Drosophila melanogaster: one gene and its partners. The protein of the gene in region 1 purifies or fractionates together with the protein of each later gene. This does not show direct contact. Each region holds a gene or a part of one and is shown in the gene's direction. Other genes may lie near its edges. The genes, in order: Iswi, Caf1-55, Nurf-38 and CG8677.

Region 1 (9,301 bases):
AAGCTTATGTATATATAATATAGTTAAATTTTCTCAATATATTGAATATATATATATGTTTCTAAAGGGTCATTTGATTGCGCGTAACTTTCGTTTGGACGAGGTCTCTCTGCCCATACTTCCAATTCAGGATTACAAAATTGCATTTAACTTTTCAGGAGCCAATCCAGGAATTCACTTGGGACTGGTTTTGATCTATTTTGAAATTCTAGAGGATTATTACAAGCAAAAAAAGAATAAGCCACTGCCCAAGCCGTTGAACTTTGTTTAAAATTCATATAGCTGCTAAGGAAATATACACTTTTAAAACACGTTTTAATACAAAGGTTAGCTTCGTGAAAATTCTTTTGACAATTTTTGTCGGGTGTAACCGGCGCCCATCGATATCGTAGATTCAAGAAAATTTTAGAGTACGGTCACTCTGTCAGTGTCGTGGCTTGGTTTTGCACGGATTTTGTATTTTTAGTTTTAAACCCATAATTGATAAGTAAATATGGCCTTTGACGCGATACCCAAGGATCTGCGAGGACTTCGCGCCTGCCTCGTTTGCTCCCTAGTGAAGGTGGGTTATATTTTGCCCAGACTCGACACACATTTTCATTGAAATCATTTATCGCCCGCAGAGTTTTGATCAATTTGAGACTGATGGCTGTGAAAACTGCGAGGAGTTCCTGCGAATGAAAAACAACAAGGACAATGTCTATGATCACACTAGCAACAACTTTGACGGAATTATTGCCCTAACTACGCCCACCGACTCCTGGGTGGCCAAGTGGCAAAGATTGTGTAAGGCCTGAATGACTTCCGTTCCAAAAGGGTATTACTGATATATTTGAAATCATTTTCCTTTAGCCCGCTTTACTCGTGGTATCTATGCCATTTCTGTATCCGGAACACTGCCGCAGTCTACCTTACGTGACATGAAGAATCGTGGAATTGTCTACAAATCTCGGGACAGAAGTCAACGATAAACAAACAGATTGCCGTACAAAATACATGTATAAATCTTTATTCTTTAATTTATAACAAAACCACGAATACATACAATAGCAATACAAAACGAAACCGCATCAGTCATCCAGCGAACTAACGCGCAATCCCTCGCCGCCGGCAGTCGTAACATGAACACCAAAACCCGCCGATTCGAGCTCCTCTTTAAGCTTCCAGTAGACCTCGTTGCACTCGTAGTTCTCTGGAAGCAGAACGATGACATAGCCACCTGCGCCGGCGCCCGTCAGCTTTGAAAAGAAGCCACGCTTAAAAGCGATGGTGAAGATTTGCTCCAGTTTCGGGTGCGACACTCCGATAGCCTTCAACAGATCATTGTTGATCTGGAACAGGCGTTCAAGTTGCTCGAATTTCGAGCTATCGTCTTGGGCGTTGCCAAAGCTTTCGTAGAGTGGAACGGCGGCGGCAACAAGCTCCTCGCAAGCCTGCCAAATGGCCTCGATGAGCTGCGGAAAGGCATCTCCCAGATGACGAACCTTGGCCACAATGTCGGCGGTGCTGCGACTCACACGACTGTCCACCAGCAGGATGTTTAGTGGTTTCTGGATCTTCAGCGACTGGAAGCCCTGGCCCTTGACATACCGCAACATTCCGCCGTAGGTGCATACAGTGTTGTCCAGACCCGAGGGCGTGCCATGATTAACACGCTCCGATTCATAAGCCCAGGACGAGATCAACGCCTGGTTTGCCTCCGACAAGTAGCTGTCTCTATCAAAGTGTCCGGCCAAAATGAGAAATGTCGTGGCCAAAGCTGCTCCGAAAGAGGCGGAACTGCCCAAACCCGCACCCACGGTTAGCTGGCTGTCTACCTGCACCTGGAAACCGGTTTGCAGCGTCAGTTTCTTGTCGCCGGGTGCGGAGAGTACAGCGCCGGCCAGCAAATAGTATATGGAGATGAATGCCCGCTGGGTGTGCTGCTTCGGTGCATTGCCTCCGGATCGTTCAAGTTGTTTGGACACCTCTGCGCGGACGGCTTCCAACAGATTGGCCGTGCTATCTGATGGGTATTTACTCCTAAATTCAGCCAAAAATCCATTGAACTCCGGCAACTGGATCTCCAGTGTGCAGTTAAGGGCCTCCAGTTGAAAACTTGCCACCTGGCTGTCCTCCAGCTGCCGAAATCTCAGAGTAGTGCCCAAACCCACTACGGCGGCGAGGGCGGGACGATGATAGACCACGGCGTGTTCGCCATGGAGTATGACCTTGCCCGGAGAATGGACCTGGAACTTGAGCATTGTTCTTGATGATCTCCGTGTATTGTGTGTTCTGTATTCCGTTTGGCTATGGCTTTATCGGTTTATCAGCTGTTTCGAATTGTAATGCTAATGCCTTTCGAGTGGACGACCTGCGACAAGTAGTTAAACTTTTATGGCTGTATTTCTTTATGTAACTTATGCATTTAGTGGATCATTTGCGTTGTTTATTCGGTAACTCCTATTTCTGGCTGCCGATTCCTGTGCTTTCCCTTTCACTTTCTTTGTGCGACTGGCGTTTTTCGGCTTGTTCGTCTCTTCGATCGGAAAGCGCAACCATCAGCAAAACGAACAACAGGTTTTTGCGGCTAGTGTTTGCTGTTGTTGTATCGCTCGTGTATATGTATGTGTGTTGTTGGTTTTTTTTTATTCGGTACTACTATTGGGCTTTCACTTTCTCCCACTCTTCGGGTGTGTAGGATTTCTGGGAGAATGCATGGATTTCTTTCAGTTCTTCGGCAAGCGTTGAGTTAACTAATCTATGCTTCTGGAGAAGGGTCTTGCCGCTGAAGGCTGGCGATACGATTACGGCGCTGAACTTGCCGCCACAGCCGTCTGATTCGTCCGTAACACTCACGTACTCCGTCTGCAGTTCCCGTTTGAGCTTCTCCTCGAGGTACTTTGAGTCGTATTTACTCATTTTGGATGGTTTTTTTTTCAAACGAAACGAGGTGATGGAGTGGTTGTGTGACCGTATTGGGCTTCAGGCAAAAACAGGTTTTCCATAAGCCGGGTGGTAGTTTTTCTATCTGCGCTGACCTTGGCCACACCTAGCACCATTTTAAATGTTCTTTTTCGGGGGGTTTCTTGCGATATATCTATTAAATACTTTAATATGGGGGTTGTCTAAGTAATTTAACAGATTTTGTCTTTGTTCATATAGTTTGGGGCAGCCATTCAAGTCTAAAACGATGTAGTACATATTGTCATATTTAGATTCAGTTTCCACCACAGGGCTTATTTCTAAAATATTATGAGACCCCATTAGACTTTTCGATTCCTGCTATATTCCATCATCTCAAACTTAAACATTAGGCAATAATTTTTAAACAAACGCAAACAATTTAAAAAGATAACCTATTTGATTAATCAGAATAACGGCTTTGTCTAAAACTAATAATAACGGCACACGGCCAGTGCTGCCATTCATAGTAATCCATCAAAACTATCGATAGTTCGTATTCTCGATTTGTTTGCCGCCACCGTCGCTGCCGCAGCCAACTTCGCGCATTCATCGCATAATCTAGCGATAGCACGCGCAGATTTCCCACCATTCATTAAAAAAAATCGCATGTAATTATTTACAATTTGTTTAAGCGAAACAAACATTGTTTTGTGTAAATTGCCTTTTATTTATATACTGAAAGTATAACTAACAGGTTGCACACTCGATTTTCAGTTCACATTAAACGACACCAGTGTGCAGCACGCTTGATTGGCGAGGGGAAATTTGTGGAAAAATTAAGTTCATTTAGAGACAGACGCCGGCATTGCAAATATGTCCAAAACAGATACAGCTGCCGTGGAGGCAACCGAAGAGAACTCGGTAAGTTAATATACAGCAGGCTTTGTCTAAGGACTTCTATACATATATTCTGAACTCTGCCAGAACGAGACGACTTCAGATGCGGCCACCAGTTCATCCGGTGAAAAGGAGGCTGAGTTCGACAACAAAATCGAGGCTGATCGCAGTAGGCGCTTTGATTTCCTGCTAAAGCAGACGGAGATATTCACCCACTTCATGACTAACAGCGCTAAGAGTCCCACGAAGCCTAAGGGTAGACCCAAGAAGATCAAAGACAAGGACAAGGAAAAGGATGTGGCCGAGTGAGTTAAACTCCCCCTATAAAAAAGCCAACTACTTTATCTATTGGTGTACTTTTGTATTAAACAGTCATCGTCATCGCAAGACAGAGCAGGAGGAGGATGAGGAGTTGCTGGCGGAAGACTCGGCCACCAAGGAGATCTTTCGCTTCGATGCCTCACCCGCCTACATCAAAAGTGGAGAGATGCGTGACTACCAGATTCGCGGTCTTAACTGGATGATTTCGCTTTACGAAAATGGTATCAATGGAATTCTGGCCGATGAAATGGGTCTAGGAAAGACCCTGCAGACCATATCTCTGCTGGGTTACCTCAAGCATTTCAAGTGAGTTTTCATAAACATCTATTGTTTTAAAGAAATCTCTAAATACCATATTTGCGTGCAGAAATCAAGCTGGACCACACATCGTCATCGTGCCAAAGTCAACGCTTCAGAATTGGGTAAATGAGTTTAAAAAGTGGTGTCCTTCCCTCAGAGCCGTCTGCCTTATTGGTGACCAGGACACCCGTAACACCTTCATTAGAGATGTGCTCATGCCTGGCGAGTGGGACGTTTGCGTGACCTCCTATGAGATGTGTATCCGCGAGAAGTCTGTATTCAAGAAGTTCAACTGGCGCTATTTGGTCATCGACGAGGCGCATCGTATCAAGAACGAGAAGTCGAAGCTGTCGGAGATTCTGCGAGAGTTTAAGACCGCTAATCGTCTACTTATCACGGGTACTCCGCTGCAGAATAACCTCCACGAGCTGTGGGCCCTGCTTAATTTCCTGCTGCCCGATGTGTTTAATTCGTCAGAGGATTTTGACGAATGGTTCAACACGAACACCTGCCTGGGTGACGATGCATTGATTACGCGTTTGCATGCCGTGCTGAAACCTTTCCTGCTCCGTCGTCTAAAGGCCGAAGTGGAGAAGCGTCTGAAGCCGAAGAAGGAGATGAAAATATTTGTGGGTCTATCCAAGATGCAACGCGACTGGTACACCAAGGTGCTGCTTAAGGACATTGATGTAGTGAACGGTGCTGGCAAAGTGGAGAAGATGCGACTGCAGAACATCCTTATGCAGCTCCGCAAGTGCACCAACCACCCATATTTGTTTGATGGCGCCGAGCCCGGTCCGCCATACACCACGGACACGCATTTGGTGTATAACTCCGGAAAGATGGCTATTCTGGACAAGCTGCTGCCCAAGCTCCAAGAGCAGGGATCGCGTGTGTTGATTTTCTCACAAATGACGAGGATGTTGGATATCCTCGAGGACTACTGTCACTGGCGCAACTACAACTATTGCCGCCTGGATGGTCAGACGCCGCACGAAGATCGTAACAGGCAGATTCAGGAATTTAACATGGACAACAGCGCCAAGTTTCTCTTCATGTTGTCCACCCGAGCCGGTGGTTTGGGTATCAATTTGGCTACCGCTGATGTTGTCATCATTTACGACTCGGATTGGAATCCTCAAATGGATTTGCAAGCTATGGATCGTGCTCATCGTATTGGTCAAAAGAAGCAAGTGCGCGTTTTCCGGCTGATCACCGAAAGTACAGTGGAGGAGAAGATCGTGGAGAGAGCAGAGGTCAAGCTCCGTCTGGACAAGATGGTCATCCAGGGGGGCAGATTGGTTGACAACCGCTCCAATCAGTTGAACAAGGATGAAATGCTTAATATAATCCGTTTTGGAGCTAACCAAGTGTTCAGCTCTAAGGAGACAGACATTACCGATGAGGACATCGATGTTATTTTGGAGCGCGGTGAGGCCAAGACGGCCGAGCAAAAGGCAGCACTGGACAGTCTGGGCGAGAGTTCGCTGCGGACGTTCACAATGGACACAAACGGCGAGGCAGGAACTTCTTCCGTATATCAATTCGAGGGTGAGGATTGGCGCGAGAAGCAAAAGCTAAATGCGCTGGGCAACTGGATCGAGCCACCGAAGCGTGAACGCAAAGCCAACTATGCTGTGGATGCCTATTTCCGCGAGGCTCTCCGTGTCTCCGAACCCAAGGCACCGAAGGCTCCCCGCCCACCCAAGCAGCCTATCGTTCAGGACTTTCAGTTCTTCCCACCCCGTCTGTTTGAGCTGCTCGACCAGGAAATCTACTATTTCCGCAAGACTGTTGGTTACAAGGTGCCCAAGAACACGGAACTAGGATCGGATGCCACCAAAGTGCAGCGCGAGGAGCAGCGCAAGATCGATGAGGCAGAGCCGCTTACCGAGGAAGAGATCCAGGAGAAGGAGAATCTACTCTCACAGGGTTTCACTGCCTGGACCAAGCGCGATTTCAACCAGTTCATCAAGGCTAACGAAAAGTACGGTCGGGATGATATTGACAACATTGCCAAGGACGTGGAGGGCAAGACTCCGGAGGAGGTTATCGAGTACAACGCCGTGTTTTGGGAGCGATGCACTGAGTTGCAGGATATTGAGCGAATAATGGGACAGATTGAGCGTGGAGAGGGCAAGATTCAACGGCGATTGTCTATTAAGAAGGCTTTGGATCAAAAGGTAGTTAGCATTGTTTCTGTAGAGTATCTTTAATATATATGAATATATTTTTGTTGTAGATGTCGCGGTATCGCGCCCCCTTCCATCAGTTGCGGCTGCAATATGGTAATAACAAGGGCAAGAATTACACTGAAATAGAGGATCGCTTTCTGGTATGCATGCTTCACAAGTTGGGCTTTGACAAGGAGAATGTCTACGAAGAGCTGCGAGCGGCTATAAGGTGAGCAAAAACTTGGTTTTAAATATGAGTAAACCCCTTATACATTTCCGTTCTCTTACAGAGCTTCTCCGCAATTCCGCTTTGACTGGTTCATCAAATCTAGAACCGCTTTGGAGCTACAGCGTCGCTGCAACACGTTGATTACCCTTATTGAACGTGAAAACATTGAGCTGGAAGAGAAAGAACGCGCCGAGAAAAAGAAAAAGGCACCAAAGGGCAGCGTGTCCGCTGGAAGTGGAAGTGCCAGCTCGAACACTCCAGCACCCGCGCCCCAACCGAAGGCCAGTCAAAAGCGGAAGAGCGAGGTGGTGGCAACCAGTTCCAACTCGAAAAAGAAGAAGAAGTAAAGCGACAAAGCAAACAGATATTTTTCTGAGATTCGGCTCTACACTCAGCACTAGGCAGTTAAATAGTTAAGACAAGCGATTACTTAAACATATTTTACTCTATATAGTTAATAGTTCATATCTCACGCCGGAAGCAATATCACACCAACCCCACCCCCAAAATCTGAAGTTTTTTTAAACACCCGCCTACACATCCGACTACATTACTATTGCGTGCCGCTGTATTCTATTCCAAATAATTGTATTGTGTTCTAAGACTATAATCATTATATTTATATAAATCAACACAGCATACAGATTGTTTCACTTTATATTCAGAGGTGGATTCCCCGTAAGTAAAAGGCGACATATTGAATGTTTTGGTACTGTTCGCTTTATGTTTTGGAATGCTGAGCAACTTAACGTAATAACATATATAAATTCTATGAATTGCTGCTTAGTTTGTGTAACAGGGCACTTAAACTTAATATCATCTTGTTCATGCAGTCAACGGCATCGGCAATTTGGCATCCGAGCCGCTTGACCATGTTCAACATGGCCATAAGTTGGGTCTGATGTGAATGTGGGCTTCGCCTGCTTTTTGAACTCATACTTGTCTTTCATCGCGCTTCCATTGTTGGAGCTACCTGCATCTAGTGTAATACTACGTCTCTGTTTGAAGGTTGAACCCATACATATCGAATCCTTAGTCGTCGTCGCTATACATTTCGATGATCTCGTTGATGCTGGCGACGGCACCAGCAACCAGGGCAAGAATGGAGAACACGCCCAGGAAGATGTTCTTGACCAGCTTCCACTTGCACACGCCCAGGCGGTCGGGCCACAGATAGACGGTCTCCACGAAACTGGGCACAAAGATGCCCAGCAGCGAGAAGAACACGGCACCCACCAGACTGATGAAGGGTTCCAGGTTGGGGATAGCAGCAGCTACACCACCGCTAAGCAGGATAATGCCGCTGCGCAGCAGAATCTGTGTAATATTGTGCTTCTCGGGACTGAACTTGTGACTGATCTTGCGCCAGAGGATCTCGTTGGGCACATAGAACTGCAGGCCAAAGGTGAACAGGATGGCCACGGCCATCAGGAGCTTGGCCGTATCGCCCAGCCAGGCGCCTTCCGGCAGATTCAGCGTGATGCTGCCTCGCACCTGGTCGCCAAATCGCACATATCCAAAGAATCCGATGATGGCATAGAGCGAGACCACAGTGACCATAGCAATGTTAAGCACGCCGGGGCATCCCAAGAAATGCTGGGGCTTCCTCATCGAGTTTTCCACGGGCATCACAACACCGATGCCCTCCATCGCAAAGATCACGGTGGCGAAAAAGAGTGGAATATGGGCAGCCTTGGCGATCAGTGGCTTGTCGGAGTAAACCAGCGGCTCGTCGAACATGTAATACAGCGTGATCGCGAATGTGACCACAATGAAGATGTTGGCCATCATGGAGAATGGCACCAGCCACTTCAGGTCACGGATCTGACCGATAAGCAGACAGGGGATCACGGTTAGGGCAATGTAAATACGCACATCCCAGTTGATCTTCAAATCATAGTTAATGACATCGTGGAAGGATGTCGCAATAAATACGATATATACACATGCCGCAGCATAGTAGGTGGCCATCAGTCCGATATCCACAAATTGCCTGGAGATTTTTAAATAGATTAGCATTAGGGATCATCTCCTGTAAGCTTTACTCACTTGGCGAAATTCGAGTAGGGTCGCATTCCCTTGGGTCCGTACTCGAAGACCTTCTCAGCTGTCTCAGCAAATCCCAGAGCCGAAACCTTGGCATCCCTGCAAATGTCATGCGAAGTTTTAACCTGCAAGAATGAATAAAAAATGTTGGAACGTCGTTAGTTAATAGGATTCATTAAAGCATTGAAAAAGGTGATTTATAATATAGACAGCAATTTATTGAACTCTAAGCTTCTACTCCATTAATCAAATAGAAATTTATTGCAGTTTAAACAAATAGGCTAAGGTTATCACTAAGTTTTAAGTCTAAATAAATAATACTACTTCAAAATTAAGATATAGTATTAATCTTAGAGACTTGACTTCCACTTTAGAGATAATCTAAAGCTTATGAGGATGCAGTTTATTATTCCCTAAGCGGAAAGCGATTATAAAGTATTACGTCATC
Region 2 (7,016 bases), on another chromosome or scaffold:
TTTCAGCTTTATGCGATGTGCGCCCATCGTTATGAAGCCAATGAAACCGAACTGCGTGAGCGCCAAATCCTTCTGGGTGATCTGTCCAGCTCCTTGGCGGGCGCACGCATGACTGGAGCGGCTGTGGGCCCGCCTCACGGCCGCAATGCTGGTCCAGAACCTGCTGCCACGGTCCGCGATGTTGTGGTTATACCAGGCTTGCGTGTGGAATATAGTACGCACATAGCGACGGTAGGCGGTGAACGCTGTCGAGGATTGGCGTGTGCACGACAGCACCCGGAGAATGGATGGAATAGCCAGCACGGCAATAAGACCAGCCAGCATTCCGGCGTTCATTACAAAGCGATACGTGCTAAAGTAGCTCTGACCACTGCAAGGAAAAGGAATAAAGAATCAATTAAGTAATTCGAATGCAGTTATATTATTTAAATTAAAATATACATATACATACATGTACATATACATATATATTGTTAAAAGTAAATGTATGTCGCCTTTTGTTATTAATATGTAAGCCCGTAGGTACAAAATTGGAATAATGAGCACAGATAAAGATAAGTATTATATGCTGCCTTTTCGCATTATTATTCACATAGCAAACTGCTACATAACTCCAAGCTTATAAATAACCCATGTGTATATGGATATTGTAATTATCACAATTATTTCTACTGTGGTTACTGGGCTAATATGCAATCAGTGAACAATTAGTCACGCAACTTACCGCCTGAATAGCTGCTCATCGTACCACGAAGGTAGCTCCAAATCAGCACCGCTGTCGCCCTCCTGACTGCCCTCCTTCATTAGGTGCTCCAAGTAGTCCTCGGGCTCCTGGTGATCCTGAAGCAGTTTTGAAGCCCCCGCTGCATTATGACCATCTTTGGAATGCGATGACGACTGCATTTTCCCACTGATCCCTGGAAAGTGACGTGCGATGTAGAAAACGAGCTTGAGGTCCAAATTCGGATTACACAAGTGAAAGAAAGAAAAGACAAACAAAATCGTCGGCGCGCCAAGAGAGAAAGTTTTTCATTCAACCCGCCAACAAGTCCACTGTGCACTTACACGTTTCACGCTTCGCGGGATGGGGGATCTCGGATGAGCTGCTGGTACAACCATCAACCTGCATGTCGGCCAAATTATTGCTTGTTAAACTATTTAGCAAACTCAATAGTTCAGCTCGTTACGTGCAAAAACATTTTGCATACACAATTGGAAAAAAAGCGTTGAGGATGAATCACGGCTGCCCACCGTCGTTGCGGTTGGGGAACTTAACTGCAACTGGCACGTTAGGCTCGTCAAATAAGAATGGAAAGCCGGTCATTGGCGCGTAAACTGGTTTCGAATCATTCGCACTGATAACGAATTAAGTAGTAAACTTTGTTTATGCACTTTAGTGTGCCCGCAACTGCAACCGTTAAAATATACCTTTTAAAACCCCAAATATATCGATGTAAACCACAAAATACTAAAATCATGACGCAGGAACGTAACAAGTATAAAAATACCGCGCAGTGTCATCTCCATAACTCTGTTATCGTTATCGTAATCGAATATGGCAGTCGTCTCGACAATCTTTAGCATTGCATCTCTATCATCGACGACGCGCTTGCAAAAAAACGAAGGAAATTAGCCAATTTCTATTTTGCCCTGACGTTACGCCGTTTAAAGTGTAAGTTCCCGGCCAGGATTCGACTCAATCCCTGCCACAACGACTTTCGGTCAAGTGTTCGTTGCGAGAGCTTTAACTACGTAGCGAACTTTCGTAGTTTTTCTGCACACGTTTTGCCGCTTCGGCTTTTGTTTTGGCGCCCGATTTTTTCGGCTGCCGACTTTTGACGCAGACTGAGAAATTGCGTGCCTAAAAGCCTCGAAATGGTGGATCGCAGCGATAATGGTAAGTCCGGTTAGAAGTTAATCGCCGCAATGTGTAACCATCGACCTTTAGCAGCGGAATCCTTCGACGACGCCGTCGAGGAGCGCGTGATCAATGAGGAGTATAAGATTTGGAAAAAGAACACGCCGTTCCTGTACGATCTGGTCATGACGCATGCCCTGGAATGGCCCTCGTTGACTGCCCAGTGGCTGCCGGACGTGACCAAGCAGGATGGCAAGGACTACTCGGTACATCGTCTTATACTGGGCACACACACATCTGACGAGCAGAACCATCTACTCATCGCCAGCGTTCAGTTGCCCAGCGAGGATGCCCAGTTCGATGGTTCGCACTACGATAACGAGAAGGGCGAGTTTGGAGGCTTTGGATCGGTGTGCGGCAAAATCGAAATCGAGATTAAGATCAACCACGAGGGCGAAGTGAACAGGGCCCGCTACATGCCCCAGAACGCCTGTGTAATCGCCACCAAGACGCCGTCGAGTGATGTCCTGGTCTTCGACTACACGAAGCATCCCAGCAAGCCGGAACCGTCTGGCGAGTGCCAGCCTGACCTGCGGCTGCGCGGTCATCAAAAGGAAGGCTACGGACTCTCTTGGAATCCCAACCTCAATGGTAAGTGCGTAGCTGTACCTAGTACTTATATATTAGCTCAGATAAGAGCTTGACACATCTAAAATGCATTACGTTTTAACCCTTAATGAACATCTTGATTGTCCTTACAGGCTATTTGCTGTCAGCCTCTGATGATCACACCATCTGCTTGTGGGACATCAATGCCACACCCAAGGAGCATAGGGTTATTGATGCCAAGAACATCTTCACCGGCCACACCGCCGTTGTTGAGGACGTGGCTTGGCATCTGCTACATGAGTCTCTGTTCGGATCGGTGGCTGACGACCAGAAGCTGATGATCTGGGACACGCGCAACAACAACACCTCGAAGCCCTCGCATACAGTGGACGCTCACACAGCGGAAGTCAATTGCTTGAGCTTTAATCCCTACTCGGAGTTCATTCTGGCCACGGGCTCCGCTGACAAGACTGTAGCTCTATGGGATCTGCGCAACCTCAAGCTAAAACTACATTCCTTCGAGTCGCACAAGGACGAGATCTTCCAAGTGCAGTGGTCGCCGCATAACGAGACTATTCTCGCCTCCTCCGGCACTGACCGCCGCCTACACGTCTGGGATTTGTCCAAAATCGGCGAGGAGCAGAGTACGGAGGATGCTGAGGACGGACCACCCGAGCTGCTCTTCATCCATGGCGGTCACACTGCCAAGATTAGCGATTTCTCGTGGAACCCCAATGAGCCATGGATCATTTGCTCCGTGTCCGAGGACAATATTATGCAGGTCTGGCAGATGGCCGAGAATGTTTACAACGACGAGGAGCCAGAGATTCCCGCCTCCGAGTTAGAAACCAATACCGCTTAAAGCATCTGTTCCGCCTCCTATAATACACACCAAACTACAACTGAATCCGATAATGTTTTGGCCGTGCCCCGTGTCCAGCTATCCAGCCTAAATGGCAATGGGTACTCATTTTAATTTATATATATTTACATATTTTTAAAAACAAAATTTAATTAAGCTCTCATTTGTCAGCAGATTGTACAATCTATGAATTTTTAATTAAAAATGATTAAAAAGTCAAGAAATGAGGTTAATTTTTTTGAAATTAAATACCAACTTAGATCTTCAAGCGTATTTTATTTAATTCTATTCAAAAAGAAGCACATTAAACCACATTGTATTTGTGTTTCTTGCCAAAGACTTCTATGTCCACACTAAGTCCTCTGACATCCTCTTTATGTCTTCTTGACGTGATTTTCCCACAAATGACGTCTCCTTCCTTCACAACCTGCGGGTTCTCGATGAAGAAAACCGTTTGCTTCCAATGGGTGGGCGTCGCAGATGGTGATGTGCTGAACATGACGGGGGAGGGTAGTTCAAACAATGTTTCAAAGTAACCGACAAAGGCGGATAATCGTCCCGGCTTCGTGACCTTTAAGCTAAACTGGTGAGTAAAGTTTGGATAGTTCATATCGACGGTCATTATGTCGAAGTTAGCTATCTGTTCGGGTTCCGTCAGCATGAACTCTGCATCCACCACCTGCATGAGTGGCTCCTCTATTGATTGCTTTCGCAGATCGCTCATGTCGACCTCGTAAACGTTAGACCAGAATTCCACTTCATCGGCATAAAGCGTGTCGTCTCCATAGCCCAAGAGACTGAGTGTACAGCGACTGGGCAGTATTATGCCATTGGGGTTGAGGTGATTCTCGCGGGCGTAGATAATGCTGTCCAGCATTGATTCGTACAAAAGAAAATAGCCCATCCATTCGGATATTATAATGTCGTATTTAGTCTCTGGGAGATCTGTGTCCTCCAGCCGTCCCTTGATCAGTTCAACATTCTCAACCTTGTTCTTCCTGATGATATCCATGGCGGTGTACACAATGTCCGAGTTATCTATGCCGACAACGCGAGCTGCACCCGCTTTGGAGGCGAAGATGGATAGGATTCCCGTGCCGCATCCCACATCCAACACTGTCTTGCCCCGAACAACGGCCTCGTTTTGGAGCAAAGACGCGCGATAGGTGCTGGTCCGCACCTTGTCGCTGAGCATTTCATGGTGAATGCCAAAGTGGGCGTAGCTTTTGAAGTATTCGTTGTCGAGACAAACGTTGTTACGCGGTACGCTCTGGTCGGAACCTTTGGGCTCGCCGTCAGCATGTACCTTTTGCAGCAGCGCCTTGTAGTCGTTGCGCATGCGTTCCATGTCCTCGTTGGCCTGCTGCAGCAATTGCGACTGCTCAGCAATCCGCTGTTGTAGCTCCAGAACCGAGGGCTGCGTCGGAGCGCCGTCTGTTTTAAGGACTTCGTAGTCATAGCAGAGCCAGGGCTCATACTCCCCGGGCTGGAGGTACTTCTCATCCTGCCAAAGCGGATGTTCCGCAGACAATAACTGCTCGGCACTGATCTTTTTGGCTCTTATGTAGTTTATCAGTTTGATAAAGGAATACTGGTCCATTTCGAATTTACGCTGAAGCTGGGACAGATTCACTTTATGCCGGGCGTCAAGATGGTCAATGGCCACCGAGATGTTTGCAGATGTTTCGGTGCAAAACAGACAAGTGGTTAGCTCATCGCCTTCGTCCATTGGCTCATCATCGTCATCTATGTCATCGTACTCATCTTCGTCGGAGCTGGAATTGGCCGGCACCTCAGGTGCCTCCTTCACGGGCTCCTCCTCTGTGGTGTTGTCTACATTGGGATGGGATTAATAAGTAATCATCTCCAGGAAATAAAAGCTTTTACGGGCTCGAACCGTTGACCTCGGTGTCTTTCATGCTATCTTTGTTTGCAAGTCCTATTGGCCTGCTTTCAGAGAAAAGAATTCAAATCGCACGACGAAGATCACAAATTTATAAATGCCAACTAAATGGGGTTTTGAGCGGCGCGAACACGTGCGGAAATTTGGAAACGAAAATAGCTTAACGCGTTTTGGTATACTTGAAATGTTGCTTTAGAGGGTATCGCAGGGGATATATGTTATAGAATAACTTTCGACGACATTGTAAAAGTGAAATTATGTTTACGCTGATATTTTAACAAATTAATTTTCTGCTTGGAAGAAGTAGGCTTAAAGAAAAAAATTTACATTTCATTTTTATTACAGGGTAGGTAAGTAACTATAGACTCACAGAAACATTTACACTACGTATGTAGTATTTTTCAGTATTTTCGAAAAGGCGTTATAAGCAGTATTGCGGCTGCCGCACTTGCATAATTCTAGGTGTAAATACAGTTTTTAATATGTTACAGGTATTTAGATCCCATATATCAATGAAAATGCATATGAAACATCTAGATTTATATTCCCAGGCTATAAAGACGCTCCGCTGGACACAGCCAATGCGGGCTCTGTCCACGGTAAACACCAGTTCCGGCGTACAAGGCAATCTTTCACCTGCGGCACCTGCTCCGGAACCGGATAAACTCTACAGCAAGCTGGAGATTGAGCTGCGGGGTATTGATCCGGCAGTTCTGAAGAGCTACACCTGGTTTGCTACTACTGCTGCCGAGCATTTGGGCATTGAAAAGGGAAAATGGTAAGAGGTAAAAATCCTCCGGTAAAGGAAATCTCTAACATACATATGTGTTCGTTAATCCTCATGCAGTTGGTCACCTCGCAAGGCGCACCACGAGCGGATGACGCTCCTGAAGTCGGTGCATATCTACAAGAAACATCGCGTACAGTACGAGGTGCGAACCCACTTCCGCTATATGAACTTCCACAAGTTGACGGGCTCCACGCTAGATACATTTCTAGAGTATATTGAACGTAATCTGCCCGAGGGCGTAGCGCTGCAGGCTTCCAGGACTGAGCTGCAGGAGATCCCAGAGCACTTGCGCCAGCCGCCGGAGCAAGTTTAGCCGAAGCCAATACTACAGTAGACCTTAGTTATTAAAAGTTCAGTATGAGCTTAGATTGCACCAGCAATCCGCACGGTAATCGGCCGTACTCGGGCCCCGTCCGCGATTAGCAAAGATAAGTTTTTGGCAGAATATTGAAATAAAAGTCGTATCTTGACACACACGATGGGATCCACTTGAAAAGTAAGCAAACAAAATCAGGGCGGGCGAACGCTGGCATACCAGTAGCTACTCCAAACCGAACGGAAGCGAATCAATCAGCAGAATGCAGCGGGCAAAACTCACTTCACAGGTCCTGCTGGCCACAGCCATTCTCTACGCATGCCTGTCGCCCGCTGCCTGCGTTTACGAGGCGAAAATCTTGGCGTTCCTTCAGGAGTTCCGTATGCGCATGTGCCACCCAATCCCGAATCTAGGCCTGCCCGCATTGGACCCACTGCAGTTGGGGCCTGCTGAAACAGAACTGAACAACAAATACCTCGTGGAGTAAGCAAATGCTGTAATATGTGCGCTTAGAGGCGTTACAAATTCATTTGTTTTCTAGCTTCACTGGGTCCATTGACAACTTTCAGTTGCACGGATTGTCCGATTTTGATGTGCCTGCGCTCAGCTTATCCCCGGTGCCCGGTTTGAAGAACACCATTAACGTTACCTTGCCACTCACGTACTTCAAATCCTTAT
Region 3 (7,576 bases), about 12 Mb from region 1:
GGTTGTAAAATGAGCTCAACATGGCGCACTGGCAGTGCTCGTAATAGGCTTGGCCAGAACAGGATCCGTCGCGGAACTTAGACGAAAGCAAGCGGAATTCGTTCAACGCCTCTGGGGTCTTGAGCAGGGACATAACCTCATCAACCAATTTCTGGACGCAAGACAAATGCTTTTTAAGTTAATGTTTTCTAACTAATTGGCAAACGACGTTAGCTTACCTGATTCCTGACCTCGGTATCTGGTGGATCGGTGTACGTATAGGGGCTGGGTACAATGTCATACGACTCGCCCAGCGAATTGGTGAACGTGAGATTGTTGGGCAGCTTGGCCACCGAGTTAACAGTCACGTTGGACACGAATCCTGGTGGTGGCTTTAGCGGTCCGCCAGGTTTTAAGCCGGGAGGAGCACGTATTGGCGTAGACGGAGCCCCATTGGTTTTTTGTTCGTTGTTATTATTTCTCTCCTTCGGTTTGGCCGTCTTAGGCTGATTCTCCTGGTTGCTCTTTTTATCCTTCTGCTTTTTATCCTTTTTATTTGCCTGCTGCTCTTGAACATTGTTGTTGCTTGCCTTGGGAGCAGGTTTCGATGTTGGACTCGGCAGAACCGGGGCCGGCGCCACTTTGGCCTTGCGATTCTCCAGCTCACGCTGCTTCTTCTCATTAGCTGGTTTCGACCAGTTCAATGAAGGAGATCCACTGCTGGGCTTTGGAGCAGTCGTCCTGCTTGAGCTGGCGCTGGCACTCGGTCCGAGGCTAGGGAATTCCGCCGCAGTGAGTTTGGGAGCACTCTTCTTCAAAGCCTCCTGGCGCGCTTTGGCCTCGTCCTCCTCCTTTTGTACCATTTGAAGCTTTTGAAAGGTGCTCGGGCTAGCCACTGACACGTAGTCATCGGCTAGAGACCGATGCTTAGCGGAGATGTTCGCCATCGGCACTGGCGATCCGCTAGGCAGCATATCCTCCTCCAGGTTGCGCAGATTCTTCTTGTTCCCCTTACCCGGTAATGCAGGAAAGTCTACCTGCGGCGTGGCTGCCTTTTTGGGCACGGCTGCTGATCGATTTGACACATGCAGGAGCATTCCGTTACCGGGAGGCCCACTTCGACTGCCAGAACCTGCCGCGCTTGTGGGTTTCTTAAAGACAGCTGCCACGGGGTGCTGCGATTGAGCAGCCCGGGCGGCAATGCTGCTGCTAGTGGGCCCAGTAACACCACCTCCATTTCCTCCTCCCAGAGCCGGGAAGTTTTCTTTGGTCCGAGCAAGACCAGAAGTTCCACTAAGATTGCGCATCGAGGGCGGTGGCGGTCTCACCAAGGATACGCTGGGAGCTGTGGAAGCGCCTCTCAATGTGGGAAACTGTTCCTCGTTGCCAGCATCAATGCTCACATGGCGCTGGGTGATCGAAGGCAAATCGTTCTGGTAGTCGTTGTGCTCGTCATTCCTGTAAGGTTTACCATTCTAAGAGTGCCTTCTTCAAATTGGATGGCCGCTCACTCACCTGGTTCTCACGCTGGTTATGCCCTGCTCCGTCTGCCCACTACGGCCACGAGGCCCCAAAGTGATCTCCACCTGCAAGGTGCGCGTCTGCTTGGCCTGCTGCTTGTTGAGCGACTTGCCGTGCACGTTGGCCACGTGCGCCTTGTACTCGATTTCGTTGCGGAATGCGCCGACAAACTGCTCGGTGGCGCACTTACCCTCCTCGCAGAGAAAGTGCTCCGCCCGGAAATGTTCCGCCAGATCCGCATAGTCATTGTAGAACTCATTGCAACCATCGGCGTCGCAAAAGTGGCAGAAGTAGTGCTCGCGGCGCAAATGACGGAACAACTCATCACGGTCCACATAGCGTTTATTGCAGTATTCGCACAACGGATGACCGCGATGCGACCGATTGTCCGGATCGCCCTTGGTGTTGTGTAGCTGCAGCTCCGCCTGAGTGTAGCACCTCCGTTCGAAGGTGAAGATATTGAGGGTCTCGACGCATAGGTCACAGTACAGAAGTTTATGCTCGCTGCGAACATGGTTGCGAAGGCCCTCGAACGTGCGGTATGGAGGTGCATCGCATCTGCAATTTAGCGTAGAAGGGTGAGCCTCAATGGTGCAACTCAAGTGCGGGCAGAATACTCACTTCGGGCAGGGATGGTCGAGCAATTTGAAGAATTGCTGTCTTATCTCTGCGGTGCAGAAGCCGATGCGGTACTTCTTGCTGTATAAATCAGAGCGGTTATTTGCCTCCAGTTCGCGATAGGGCAGCTTGTCCAGTGTGAACAAAACCTGCAAGTGTTTTAGAATTAGATAGAGATTCGGTTCTCTAGACAAGCGCAGGACTTACCTTGGACAGGACGTGGCGGCAGATGGGGCACTCGTTCTGCTGGCAGAGAACCCTCATCCGAGTGGAGCACTCGTAGCACACGGGATGATCACAGTCGCCGATGGAGAAAATTTCCACGTTTTTGAAGCACACCACGCAGGCGTTGTCGTCGTTGCCCGTATAGCTCTCCAAGGCCTCCGGCTTGACAGCAGCGTTATCAGTGGTGGTGTTGGCCACTCCGTCTTTGGGACGGCGGTGGAACGACGGCCTGGCCGAAGATCTCGGTTTTCCGTTCTGCATTTCACTAGAGATTTTGCAGTGAATGGAGGGGGGGAATTTACTTGTTGCCACGGGCACTTGAAAATGTACGTGTAACGACTGCTTTCGGATAAAAGCTGGGGTTTCTTGGATCCCCCGGTTTGTTTACTCTTTTGGAATATCTCGTCAGCAAAATAAAGGGGAATTTTTGCAACGCCAACTCGAAAGCAAGGCAACACGCACACACGACAGACGAAAAGAAAACTCAGAATTTAGAAAACTCGATTGCCAATGTTATCGATGACACTGCTCGGATCCCCGATAGCACCGATAGTTCCCAGTTGGAAGCTTTGTTAATGTTAAGTTAACATGACCAGAATTCGGACAATTTCGCAACGATCAGTAACCAGTACAAGTAAAACCTATTGACTTCGAATTTATAAAAAATTCAATCACTTATATGAAACTTTTAAAATATTTCTAAGTGCTTCTTCTGCAGGTATGAACATATTCAAAGCATATTTTGTTTAAGTTTTTACGATTTGACAAAAACTAAATAATCTTTAAGGTTTTGATAGTTGTCTTATTTATACTGTAAATAGATTTGTATAATAATTATAATTACAATATTGTATTTTATATTTAATAATAATAATTATAATGTTATAGTTTTCATATAATAATATTTATAATAATAGTTCTAATTGTATGAAAAAATGAAGTTCATTCTCCATTGGAATGGATGAAATGGAATCGAGCTATACATTTTCTGAGCAGCACTGTTAACTGTAAAATCGGGTCCTATCGCCCTATCGATAGACTCAACTCAGGGCTGAAGAAAATGTTGGCGAAAATTACAAGGAGTTCATTTTACGCTTCACGTGCGGTTGGTCGCTTGTCCGGCTCGATTCCAACGTCACCAGCGGCCCTTGCCAGCAATTGCAGATATATTCAGATAGAACGGAAGCGCACGAAATCACACGAGATGGCTCTGTACGAAACCGTTGAGAAGGGCGCTAAGAATTCGCCGAGCTACAGCCTGTATTTCAGTGAGTAGAGTAGCGCATTGGGGGCCAAATGTGAATGTGACCCGGCTTAACCCTTTGCTTGCGCATTTGCAAGTTACCCAAACTCGGTGCAGTTAATGCACCTAGAATTAGTTGATCGGTACCGGAATGGTTATGCAACAGGTCAAACCGGACTCTGCTTATTTAACTCGACGCATTATCAGCACTATCAGCCGATCCGATTTGTCTTGCGTCGGAAATGGCGGAAACACCAAGAGTTTCGGCCCCTTTGGGCTTATCTCTTTCCTTTATTAGCCCATATTCCGAATAGCAGATATCGAAACTGGTGGCTGAATTTCGGTTTACTGGCACGCAAATTAGTGACCTTTGTCTAGCCGACAGGTCCCCGGTCACTATTAATCAAATCGCGTGTCCAGGTGTCGCCCATATATCAGGCATAATAATTTCTGGCCATTCTCCACAGAAAACAAGTGCGGCAATGTCATCTCGCCGATGCACGACATTCCACTGTACGCCAACGAGGAGAAAACTATCTACAACATGGTGGTGGAGGTGCCACGTTGGACCAACGCGAAAATGGAGGTCGGTCTGCCTGTCCCTAAGATTCATACTTCTGAATAATACAAAAATTGCATGTCTGACCCTTAGATTAGCTTGAAGACCCCTATGAATCCCATCAAGCAGGACATCAAGAAGGGTAAGCTGCGGTTCGTGGCCAACTGCTTCCCGCACAAGGGCTACATCTGGAACTACGGAGCCCTGCCCCAGACCTGGGAAAACCCCGACCACATCGAGCCCTCCACCGGCTGCAAGGGTGACAACGATCCCATCGATGTCATCGAGATTGGCTACCGAGTGGCTAAGCGCGGCGACGTGCTGAAGGTCAAGGTGCTGGGCACCATTGCCTTGATTGACGAGGGCGAAACCGACTGGAAGATAATCGCCATCGATGTGAACGATCCGTTGGCCTCGAAAGTCAATGATATCGCCGATGTGGACCAGTACTTCCCGGGTCTGCTTCGTGCCACCGTTGAGTGGTTCAAGGTGGGTGGAATTCGATTTTCGGACGATTCCCTCTCTTACCCTTTGCATTTCGCAGATCTACAAGATCCCCGATGGCAAGCCTGAGAATCAGTTTGCTTTCAACGGCGATGCCAAGAATGCGGACTTTGCCAACACCATCATTGCCGAGACCCACAAGTTCTGGCAGAACTTGGTGCACCAGAGCCCCGCATCCGGGTCCATCTCCACGTGGGTTAAATGCCATTTTATACATTTACAATTAATCCTAAGTACGTCCGTTTCGCAGCACCAACATCACCAACCGCAACTCGGAGCACGTCATTCCCAAGGAGGAGGCCGAGAAGATACTGGCCGAGGCCCCCGATGGCGGCCAGGTCGAGGAGGTGTCTGATACAGGTAAGGTTCACTATATTAGATCGAACTTATAGCTGCTTCACCCGATCCCAACCAAAAACACACTACTCCAACACACGCTTTAACCACCAGTAACTTGCAAACAAATTGGTTACACAAACACAACCTGCACGCTTACTAATAGCTACTTTAATTGTCCAGTTAGCAAGCTAAATTGAGATTACTCCATGCTGTAAATACTGCTGAAACCCAATTTATGTAATTGGCTTGCTTGCGTTCGTTAATCGTTGTACATATACTTTATACTGAATGTTATCCTGAAATAAACCCTTTTTATACCAATTTACGTCCTTTGTAATTGCAGTCGACACTTGGCATTTCATTCATCTCAAGTGAGATGTTCTCCTGGGCTGATTCCATCACAAGATCCATGATCTATCTGTAGTCCAATCGAATCGAAAATGCTTGCACTTGTGAATTATTAATACTGAAATATTATCGTACGTTGAATAAAGTTTTGCACCGCAATCAAATTCGCTGTCGATTCCTCTTGAAATATACAATCTTTATTTATATTTTACGACTAGATCCAAACAAGTTTAAATTAATTAAAAGTTATGTAATTGTAAGGCATTGCAATACTACATAGAATCGAATCGAATTATGCCGTGTGGTGTTGCTCAGATGTGATTTCCGTTCTATTGCAGGAGAGCATGTGTGGGAAGGTGTGGAACGTAAAATTTATTGCCGTAACAAATTAACTTAAGCTTACGAAATAAAAGAAATGTACAAATCAGTTAGGCGTTATAAATATGTATAGAAATCTTTAAAAGAAGACAAAAATAGTTATATACATCAGACATTTTGATTCTTGTTCGTTTGTTCGTTCGTTTTTTTGTTTGCTTGTTTTTTTTTTGTTTGTTTCTTCTCATATTTGATTCTTGGCATAACTTTTTGCTTTCCTTCTGCGCGAAGAACTAAAAGAAATAAGCATAATTTACGTAATTCACTACAACTAAAAGCTCCACGAGACTGTTTCATGACAGATGATAGAAATAACATATAGACCAATTTAGACTTTCCGATATAAGTGCGGATAAGTAGCGTGTAATAGTTTAGTAATTGTCTTCATAATTTTTTTTTCAACATTTTTGCTCTGCTTTCTCTTGTAGCTAGATGTTAGCTTAGTTGTTTCTTCAAGTGGTACACATTCCTCGGGTCGATCGTTTCCTGGTTGCCATAGTTTCGTGCCGTGTTCTGCCACAGTTATCAATAATAATAGTTTTAGTTAATAGTTCATAGAATTAAGTAGCTGCTCGTGCCAGTGACGGTGCCAGAAAATCCCAGAGAATCGCACTTTACTTGCGACCCAGGGTATCGCGCCATTCGTTATACTTGTCCATCTCCTCGTGCAGCTGAAGAGCCTCTATGCAGGCGTTGAAGAAGGGCGATCCGAAGCATTCTTGCCTGTGTTCAAAAACAAAAGGAGGAGGAGGAATTAGGAAACCTGATTTTTTTTAATTTGGTGTATAGCTTGCTCAGAAGAAAAAAGAGCCAAAGTTCAAAAGCCATATTCAGGTATGGTTGAATATATCACAAAAATTATTGTTCTCAAAATCTTGTTCTGTTTGTTTGCTCAAAAAATACGAGCTCAACAGTTCGAGGATTATTGAGGAATTTAACAAAAAGTAAAGCATAGTTGGTCAAATTTTTAGCTTGAGTGCTAGTTAAAAGCCAAGAATGCACAAGGTCAAAAATCAAATAATTAATTAAAAACAAAAGAAAATTATAACGTACCAAAACAAAAACGGTAAGCAGGCGTTTTTAGTCGCGCCAGAAACGCGCGCAAATCGCCAGCTGCAGTCTGTCTGTCTCTGTCGCCTTCTGTATGGCGGTCTCTTTCTCTGGCGGTGTCCTGCGTCGCGCATTCGCATTCTAATTCTCATTTATCACAATTTTGATGCTCTCAAATAGCCAGCGAATGATTGATTATCCTTTATTAATTTACAGGGTTTTATTAATTATGTATTATTTATTGCCACATTTGTAATGCAGTCGTTCCGTTCTTCGCGTGTTTTTACCAGGTTTTTGTTTGTGTCTTGCACAAATTGCGATCTTGCGTTTCTCTCTAATATTTAGCATGTGTGTAGGGTACTCGTATTCGGATATATGTAAGGCTTTAGCTTTAGATAGGTATGCATATACTATATACTATATAGGTAAATACATATCTCCGTTTTGCGCCAACAGATTTACACTAATTCAGGGTTTCATCTTTACAAAATAGCACAAAATTGTAAGTGTAATACATTTGCAAAATACTTTCGGTCTCGATTGCGGTGTATATATGTGTGTGTGTGAGTGTGTGTGTATGTGTGTATGTGTGTATGTGTGTGTTCGTATGGGTTTATCTTTATCATTGTAGTTTTGCCCTTGCGGAAAATCGTGTAAAATGTAAACTCTAAATGCTGATTTTACAGTAGAATACAGATACAAAAATAAAAGTTATCATTTTACATTACATAGATTAAAAACAATGGATTTCGTTTTGTTTATTTTATATACAAACCGCATAACGCAATAATAATAAAACAAGCTAAGAATACTTA
Region 4 (7,910 bases), on another chromosome or scaffold:
CATTTTAAATTTGTACATTGCTGATAGACTTGAGACTTGAGTTTTTTTTTTTAAAACTACAGAGTATCGTAGGAAAACCCCCAAAAGATAATAGCCAATTGTTTGACTTGCGTTTTCGCGTACATTCACCCGTGCTTGATTTGTTACTGATTGGAAATCTCTCTTTTGCTTTGTTTGAGCTATGACAAATTTTTCAGATTATATTCTTTTCGATTCGATTTTCACCACAAATAGTCATATTGATGTTTGCGTTTCTTTCTAAGGCTTGCTCGCACTTCTTCCCTCACCCTGTTCTTGGATGACATCAACGTACCGTGCAATAGCGAAACTGGTTAATTAAGCTCGAGATTAAGGCTGCGTTGATAGCTACAGTGCGCTCCCGCCAGATTGACCCCCTTTGTTTCTTGTCATTTTATTTCATCCTTATCGCTCCGCACTTTCATTTGTTCCTTAGTCATCAGCTGTTGCGCATAAACAATTGATTGTGCGCCAATTGTGCGAGTGTTGGTGTCCCGCACAGTGGCCATCAGAATGGAAATACTGCTAAATCGGTCGCTTGTTGGCCACTGACAGTGTACCGAGTTCGGTTCCCAGCCCCCTCCCGAAACGGGAAAGGCATTCCAAAATGTTAGATGAATGCATGCTATTGTAATTGGAACTGCTTGTTTGCATGTTCTAATAAACTACACACACACACGACACGAAAAATGACGCCAATTCACGCTTACCCACAGACACACTAACGATCCCCGTCCACCTTCCCCACAGCAGCTGTTTTCGCCTTATTTACCCGTCTCATTTGTCGATTTTTGTGTCTCAATTGTTTGCCACTTTTCGCTTTGGTGACCTTCCGGGATTTAAGGATTTAAGCACAGATGTCGCTACTTACGTAAAGTCCTGGTTGAAGTTCATTTGATATGTGGTCATTGCTGCTGAAGATTTGTGCTTTGGTGATTGTATTTTTTTTATATAGTTACACTTTCACTGGTCTTTAGATGCTTTTTTTCAGCGATATTCAGTTGCAGAGTCCCGTCGTTTGAGTACACAAGATATTGATCGACGATGGCAGATGAGCAAAGCGAAATGATTTCACTTGATATTGAAAACTAAATTCGACTGTTTTGCGTCGTCTTTGTTGTTTTGCTGCGACTGTTTTTCTCGTTCTATCTATCAACAAATTCCCCCTACACACAACACACACACACATAAATCATCATCATTGGAACTGGGTTCGGGAACTGAACCAGCCGTGTTCACCAAATGCCATATATACCGTTAAATCATTTGTGTAACGGAAAATGTAAAATTGTTATTAAAAATTGAAATGGACAATATATATACATGTATCCGCATATATTTGCATTGGAAAAATCATAAAATTACCTCATATTTCACACAATTACAGTGCATTTAGTGTGTATATGTCAGTTTCATTTCTTTTTATATAAACATTAAAATAGTTTTTTCCAATAAGTATCTACAATTATCTAAGTGTTGTGTCAAATTTTCTATCAAATCGGAACAAAACAGTGGACGTGTTAAGCTTCTTATAAGGTTCTTCTGTCTTAGCAAAATTGTATTTCCCATAATGTATTTCCCTACTTCAACTTGATCTACACTAAAACTTTATACCTTTTGTTCCTAATTTATATTATAACCTATATTGTTCGTCGATTTAATAAATTTTGCATAGCCTATTTAATAGTAAAACAATTTTTAGATTTGTAACATTTAATACACATTTCATAGTCTAGCGCTAACTTAAAAATAAAACTGTCTTAACGCGAATCTGAGTAAGTTATAAATGTATTCGTAGTTTGTAAAAATCGTTTTCATGCATACGCCAAGTATACTAGAAACTAGTTCCCCAGTGCATCGACTGCCAACTCGCTTCAATTACATGGGTGCAATCTGCAGTATTGTCGAAAAGTGACTGCGCGGCCACACTGAAACTCACAACAGAAAATAAAGCATTTTCGCTTGCTTTAAAATAGGATTTTATCCCGTACAAGAGCTGTCTCGCGGCAAGAAATATGCACCCTCGAAGTCTCGCAGTGCCGTGCGACCAGAGAACTTGATCCTTGGACAAATGACTCGTGTTTGCAGTGCCCGTTTTGAGGTTTTGCCAGAGTAGTATACAACACCCGAAAATTTTCGCTGGTTCTCGGGGACGCATGAAAAATGGCGGCGTCCTCAGCTGCGGCTGCGGCGCCCACCAATCCGATCCCGCTTCCGACGGACTCCATATCGGAGGAGTGCAAGGACGACGACGCCCTCACCTCCACGCTGCACACATGCGCCAATGATCCGGACTTTGCGGTCATTTGCGCCTTCCTGCAAAAATTCGGCAAGGACCTGGGTCTTAACCTGCCCAACTTCAAGCATCTGCAGGAGTGGTTGACAAACAACAACGATGGTGAGAGGGTGGGGTGGTGGTATCAAGAGAGCGGGGTGGAAGCAGTTTTTTGCCAAATTAATTTATGTCAGGTTCAATTATCGTGGGGCAAGTGGCGGTGGAAACTACGGATGTAGTGTTTTCGAATAGGTCTGCTCCAGAGATTTAACAATGCTCCGCTCTGGAGAGCGTGCTTGGCTCGTCAGAGAGAAAGAGATTGCTCAATGGCAGAGAGAGCACTGCGATTTGTTTTCATCTCAACACAAGCGCAATATACAAAACAAATCTGGGAGAGACGTAAATATTTCCCACATTTGCTCTGGTCTTCTTATTTGAGAGATAGTAAGAGAGCTACAATTGAACACTAAAAGTTGGTTTTTTTTTTTTAATGTACACCTGCATCTGGAAATATATTAAATATTTAGGGTCACGAGTGGGAGGGAACCTGAAAATATATTTGTTTAAAAAAGTTATAATCATGCTAAGTTTCTACGTTTTGTATGTATTTGCGTGAGCAACAGCAGACACAAAAAGTGTACACTACAACAAACGCGGTTGCATTTATTTCACTTGCCCTCATAATCCACCCACAATCCATTTATATTCCGCTGTCACTTTCTTCCTTTTCGCAGAACTTTTACTAATATTTAATTATAACGAATCTTTGTAGTTCCTGAGCTAAGGGACTTGCACATAAAGCTGCTCCGTAAGACCCGTAAGACGGTTCACGAAAAGAGTTGGGAGTCCGCCCTCAGCAAATTCTGCTTCGGCTACTCGGTGCAAGATGCCTGGGAAATCGAACGTTTCGGTTATAGGAATTCCAGCTTGAAGGTTAAGCTGCGAATATTTCGGGTGAGTAACGAATTTCGTACCACTTGATAAACCGTTCTAAAGGGCGTCTTTCCCGTACAGGAACTTCTCGAAAGTCAGTTTGAACGCAATGCCAAGTTTCGGGCCCACATCCTCACCTTGAATGCCGATACTTTACGCTCTGAGCCAATTGGAAGGGACCGGTTGGGACATGCCTACTGGCTGACTCAGGATGCCCACTGTAATCTGCGGATCTACCAGGAGCATCTAGACGAGGAAATTTGGCAGGTGGTTGCCACGAACAGGGACGAGTTTGTAAATCTCATTTCAAGGCTGCGCGGAAATGAGGTGGTACTTCCTTCGAAGGACATTGGTGAGGCCGATGAGGACACCAGCAGCAGCAACAGTTGTCATCCCAAACCACCGCCCCCCGAACAGAAAGAAGAAGAGGACGATGAGGAAGTTGGAGATGAGCCCGAAAAAACTGTACCCAATCTAAAGATTAAACTCCGCTCTCCCGAGCAAGAGGATCAAAAGTCTAAAAAGGTTAAGGTGTGTATGGATTTAACCAAGGAGCTTTGCATTTTTAGATAAGATTTCATTCTCGGTCTTTCAGCCACTGCTCATTAGCCAGGCCAAACTTTCGAGTAGCGCATCGCCGGCCCCAACCAAAAAACGTTCTATCGAAGACGTAGACAGCAGCCCCACAGCCTCCCAGGAGGAACAGCAGAAGAAGCACCGTCCCACACTGCTTGATACAAAGCGAATCAAAAAGCCAAGTCGCTACGAAAGCACTAAGGATGAAATCGAAGAAGAGTCCGGAGAAGAGGATGAGGAAGAAGAGGACGAGGAGGATTCTGAATTGGATGAGGGTGAGGAAGAGGAAGATGTCGATAGTGCGGCGGCGGATATCGAGGAAGATGACGATGAGGAAGATACTGGAGAGCCTATAGAGGATCCAACGATAGTGGTGCAGGGCCAAGGATCAGGACTTGACTGTGAAGCCATCCCTTATAATTTAATTGGCAACTTTGATTATGAGGATGACTTGGAGATCGGGGAAGCCATTGCAGATCCAATGCTCCATGTGATTGGTCAAGGGTGGGGGACCGACTGTCTCGTGGGGAATGGTAAAAACGAAGCTTCCGTGGAGGAAACGTCAACGCGCACATCGGAACCAAAAGCGACGTTCTTTTTTGGCGAGCCCGGATGTCTCAAGCTAAGTCCCATGAAGCAAACATCAAAACCAGAGGCAAAACGGGGCATTTTTGACAGCTTGAGCGAGGAGAAAACAAATGGTGAAAGCGAAAAGTGTATAGTGAACACACCGCCCCGAAATGGAAGCGAACTCACAAAAACTCTGGGAGATAGTGAAGAAACAGCATCTGCGAGTGCAGCTACATTAGAAGAGACTAACATATGCCAAGAAGCTAACGTAAATAAAATCTCAGATGATCAAATAAAAAAAAAGGAATCCGTACCAGTGGCTAAAAGGAATATACAGGATAGTACAATAAGCGTGATCGAAAAGAATGAGGAAATCTCTAAAGGTCGTACCGAAAGTGAGGCAATTGAAGAAGGAGTGAGGAATAGGACAGAAGTTTCAGTCTTACAAAATAATTCAAATGAAAGTGATAACTCCTCTATTCAGACTCAGGATCAGCATAAAGTTCCAGCTGATCTGAACAATACAAAGAAACCAGTAACAGAAAAATGCGTCCTGGAAAGCGGTACAGTTGAGGATAAACTGGTAATAAATCATCAGCAAATTTCGACAAATGCCTTGGACACTGCATGTGATGAGAAACTTTCGTGTGAAACAGAAAGCCCTGTACCTAACCAACATGATTCCAAAATGAAATCAGAACAGGAAACGGCAACGAGCGCTAAGGAATCAGTATCTGAATCTTCTCCAACGGATGGGGAAGATGAAACAGCAAAATCGAAATGTTTGATTGACCCTTATGCAGGAAAAACCAATGATAAAGGTATTATTATAAATAAAATTGATAAGGCAGAAGGGGTTATTAAAACCTTGCTTCAAGATGATCCACCTAAAGATATTTCAAAAAGCGAAACGAATACAACATGTCTTGAAATCAATATTTCGCCATCTGCAGAACATAGGATTTCGGAAAAAGTTCAAACCATAGAACCAAGTACATCCCAAAACTTACTTTTCGAAGACAATGGAAAATCCGGAGAGGTTGACGGTAAGTCAAGGACGAGTGGTGCTGTTGAAGAAATATCTAAGACATCTACGTTATTAAATCGCAAGCGGCGTCTTAATGACTCTCAGTCCGCTCTACGAAACTCCACCTCCGAAAGCGAAGTGCACGAAGAGGAACCGCAAGATGACGATCCTACCCTGGACGATCTAGATGTGGGCGGCAAGCGCATTAAAATGAGACCGAAGACCACTAACGCGGAGTCCAGGCGAAAGGTGGAGGCTCAAAAAACGCAGATAGAAGAAACTACTTCGTCCAGCGGAGAAGACGATGCGCGTATTCGCCGCAAGTGTATAGCTCCTCACACTAAAACCAAGCCCACTCTGGAGGAAATTATTGAAAGAAAGTTAAAGAAAAGTATAGAGATGGATTTGCCGGAAAAGACAACTGAAAAAGTAATGGAGATGCCAACGCAACTGATGCAGAAAACTAGAGAAGCTACACCGCCCATCATCTCCTTAAGTCCGCAAAAAAAAACACCGATAACCAAGCCCCTAAAGAAAAATCTCCTGACACAACTACGACAGGAGGAGAGTGAAGAAGAGACCATACCAAGAAAACGAACAAACAGTGAGACCCTCGTGCCTGCAATTCCAGCATCTAATGTACTTTGTCAACCGGACGAGCGTCATCGCAAGCGTCGTAGCAGTGAGGATGCAAATGAGGCGTTTTCGAAGGAATCCTCCCCTACTGAAGTGCCTCCGTCAGCCGTAAGCGAGAAGTTGAAGCGCAATAACGAGCAGGACATACAGGAGGAAGTCGAGGACCCACTTGCAATGTCTGTCAAGGATTCATTACGTTCAGCTAAAGACCAATCGCCTGTACCGGAGGGATCTGCCCGTCGTTCTGGTCGCAGAGGTGGACCTGCTGTCATTCACTCTGAGCTTCCTCAGCCAAAAAGGACTCGAGGTGGGGCCAGGGATAAAATGCAGCCAGAGGTCAATGCTGAGCTGAAGCAGGAATCCGAAGATGATGAGAAAATTTCAACCAAAATAAAATCTGAAGCTAAAGACGATCCAGCCCCAGAAAGCCCAGAAAATAGAAAGAAACCTGAGGAGAAACCCATCAAGGAAGAGCCCAACGAGGAGCCAAAGCCAAAGGTGGGTCGTGGACGTGGGCCGAGAAAGAAGCGTGAGGTGGATACTACCAATATCATTGAGACCAACGACTCGGAGACACCTGTGCGCCAATCTAGGCGCATTGCCCAGCAGAAGATCAAAGAGGAAGCTGAAAGGCGAAAGCAAGAGGAGGTTGCTCTACGTACCATGAAACAGGAGCTTAAGAAAAAGAAAAAAGCCGAGAAGGAAGCAGATCCTACTGTGCTAGAACCATCAGGAGAAGAATCAGAATCCGAGGCCAGCGAGGCGGAGGAGGAGGCACGTAATAAGAAGAAAAAAAAGTGTCCTGGCAAGGATGGCTGGTCTTCCGATTCAGAAGAACAGCCAGAAAGTGAGGAGGAGGAGGAGGAGCCACCGCACTATGAAACGGATCCTGGTTCGCCACTCTTCCGGTCCGATCACGAATTTTCACCAGAATCGGAGCTTGAAGATGAGTCTCAAGTGGTGCCAATGAAAAGGGCGCGCACCGTACGGAAGGAGAACGCCGATGACCTAGAGGAGGTAAATATTAAAAATGTTAATTAGAAAGCATACAAAATTGATTTTGTTAGCTTTCCCGTTCTGAATGTCTATTCAAAATAGAAGAAACTATTTCTTGAGTTATTCCTTGCATTGTTATTGTACCCGTTATAATCCAGAATGTGTTTTATATCTTAAGTGGTCACTAAAATCACTATGCAGTAACATTCATGCTGATTTATTTTACAGGAGGATGCGGAGGAAGCTTGTCAGAAATGCGGCAAGTCTGACCATCCGGAGTGGATTTTGCTCTGCGACACGCCTACCTGTAACAAAGGATACCACTGCTCCTGCCTTTCACCAGTGCTCTTCTACATTCCTGAGGGCGATTGGCACTGCCCTCCTTGTCAGCAGGAGCAGCTCATAGCTGCCCTGGAGAGACAGCTGGAGCAATACGACACATTGGTAGCTCAAAAGCAACAGGAGCGGATCTTGGCTGAAGAGCAAGCCGAGCGAGAGCGTCAGGAGCTAGAGGCGGCCACGCTGGCGGCGAAGGACGAAAACTTCAAGAGCGAAAAGGAAGAGGACGAAGACGATAGGGATGATATGGCAGTCGGCAAGGCTGAAAAGGTAAAGCGGCGTCGCGGAGATGGACGCATTAATAGGAGAGCTGCCAAGCGAGGCACCAGGCGCCGTCGTGGAAACGAATCTGACTCCAGCCACCGCAAATCCTTAGGCAGTGGCTCTAGATCCGGATCTGGATCTGACTCAAGTAGCGACAATAGCACTAGCTTTTCTGACTCGGATGATGAACCCATATACAAGTTGCGCAAGCGGCGGCAAATCAACGTGAGCTATCGGCTTAACGAGTATGACGACCTTATCAATTCTGCTTTAAAA

What was found.
Region 2: the proteins of Iswi (region 1) and Caf1-55 purify together in Drosophila melanogaster (affinity purification with western blotting; 5 studies listed by BioGRID, with this or other methods). This does not show direct contact.
Region 3: the proteins of Iswi (region 1) and Nurf-38 fractionate together in Drosophila melanogaster (co-fractionation; 4 studies listed by BioGRID, with this or other methods). This does not show direct contact.
Region 4: the proteins of Iswi (region 1) and CG8677 purify together in Drosophila melanogaster (affinity purification with western blotting; one study listed by BioGRID). This does not show direct contact.

The regions. Positions count from the first base shown.
Region 1 is NT_033778.4:12,633,184-12,642,484, forward strand, and holds Iswi (imitation SWI), read left to right. Parts: upstream 1-3,487; 5' UTR 3,488-3,598; exon of another isoform or gene 3,599-3,660; 5' UTR 3,661-3,759; coding exon 3,760-3,807; intron 3,808-3,870; coding exon 3,871-4,088; intron 4,089-4,155; coding exon 4,156-4,410; intron 4,411-4,471; coding exon 4,472-6,587; intron 6,588-6,646; coding exon 6,647-6,807; intron 6,808-6,868; coding exon 6,869-7,154; 3' UTR 7,155-7,445; downstream 7,446-9,301. Other genes in the region: CG33792 (uncharacterized protein), read left to right, coding at 1-271; spt4, read left to right, coding at 494-562, 624-786, 853-971; Mvk (mevalonate kinase), read right to left, coding at 1,071-2,243; CG33672 (uncharacterized protein), read right to left, coding at 2,641-2,901; CG8785 (uncharacterized protein), read right to left, coding at 7,840-8,800, 8,857-8,978.
Region 2 is NT_033777.3:15,224,018-15,231,033, forward strand, and holds Caf1-55 (chromatin assembly factor 1, p55 subunit), read left to right. Parts: upstream 1-1,558; 5' UTR 1,559-1,875; coding exon 1,876-1,897; intron 1,898-1,948; coding exon 1,949-2,509; intron 2,510-2,619; coding exon 2,620-3,329; 3' UTR 3,330-3,547; downstream 3,548-7,016. Other genes in the region: CG31344 (uncharacterized protein), read right to left, coding at 1-370, 725-917, 1,066-1,129; Art3 (arginine methyltransferase 3), read right to left, coding at 3,634-5,162, 5,227-5,248; mRpS10 (mitochondrial ribosomal protein S10), read left to right, coding at 5,745-6,010, 6,080-6,335; CG34316 (uncharacterized protein), read left to right, coding at 6,601-6,821, 6,880-7,016. UniProt on the Drosophila melanogaster protein: Core histone-binding subunit that may target chromatin assembly factors, chromatin remodeling factors and histone deacetylases to their histone substrates in a manner that is regulated by nucleosomal DNA.
Region 3 is NT_033778.4:24,556,888-24,564,463, reverse strand, and holds Nurf-38 (nucleosome remodeling factor - 38kD), read left to right. Parts: upstream 1-3,376; 5' UTR 3,377-3,403; coding exon 3,404-3,611; intron 3,612-4,053; coding exon 4,054-4,172; intron 4,173-4,238; coding exon 4,239-4,634; intron 4,635-4,689; coding exon 4,690-4,841; intron 4,842-4,899; coding exon 4,900-5,009; coding exon of another isoform or gene 5,010-5,041; exon of another isoform or gene 5,042-5,312; intron 5,313-5,331; coding exon 5,332-5,363; 3' UTR 5,364-5,497; downstream 5,498-7,576. Other genes in the region: CG11414 (uncharacterized protein), read right to left, coding at 1-151, 219-1,437, 1,495-2,058, 2,122-2,267, 2,326-2,604. UniProt on the Drosophila melanogaster protein: Component of NURF (nucleosome remodeling factor), a complex which catalyzes ATP-dependent nucleosome sliding and facilitates transcription of chromatin.
Region 4 is NT_033779.5:21,219,371-21,227,280, forward strand, and holds the start of CG8677 (uncharacterized protein), read left to right. Parts: upstream 1-1,941; 5' UTR 1,942-2,181; coding exon 2,182-2,416; intron 2,417-3,065; coding exon 3,066-3,247; intron 3,248-3,307; coding exon 3,308-3,757; intron 3,758-3,821; coding exon 3,822-7,052; intron 7,053-7,259; coding exon 7,260-7,910. Other genes in the region: Atg18b (Autophagy-related 18b), read right to left, coding at 890-927.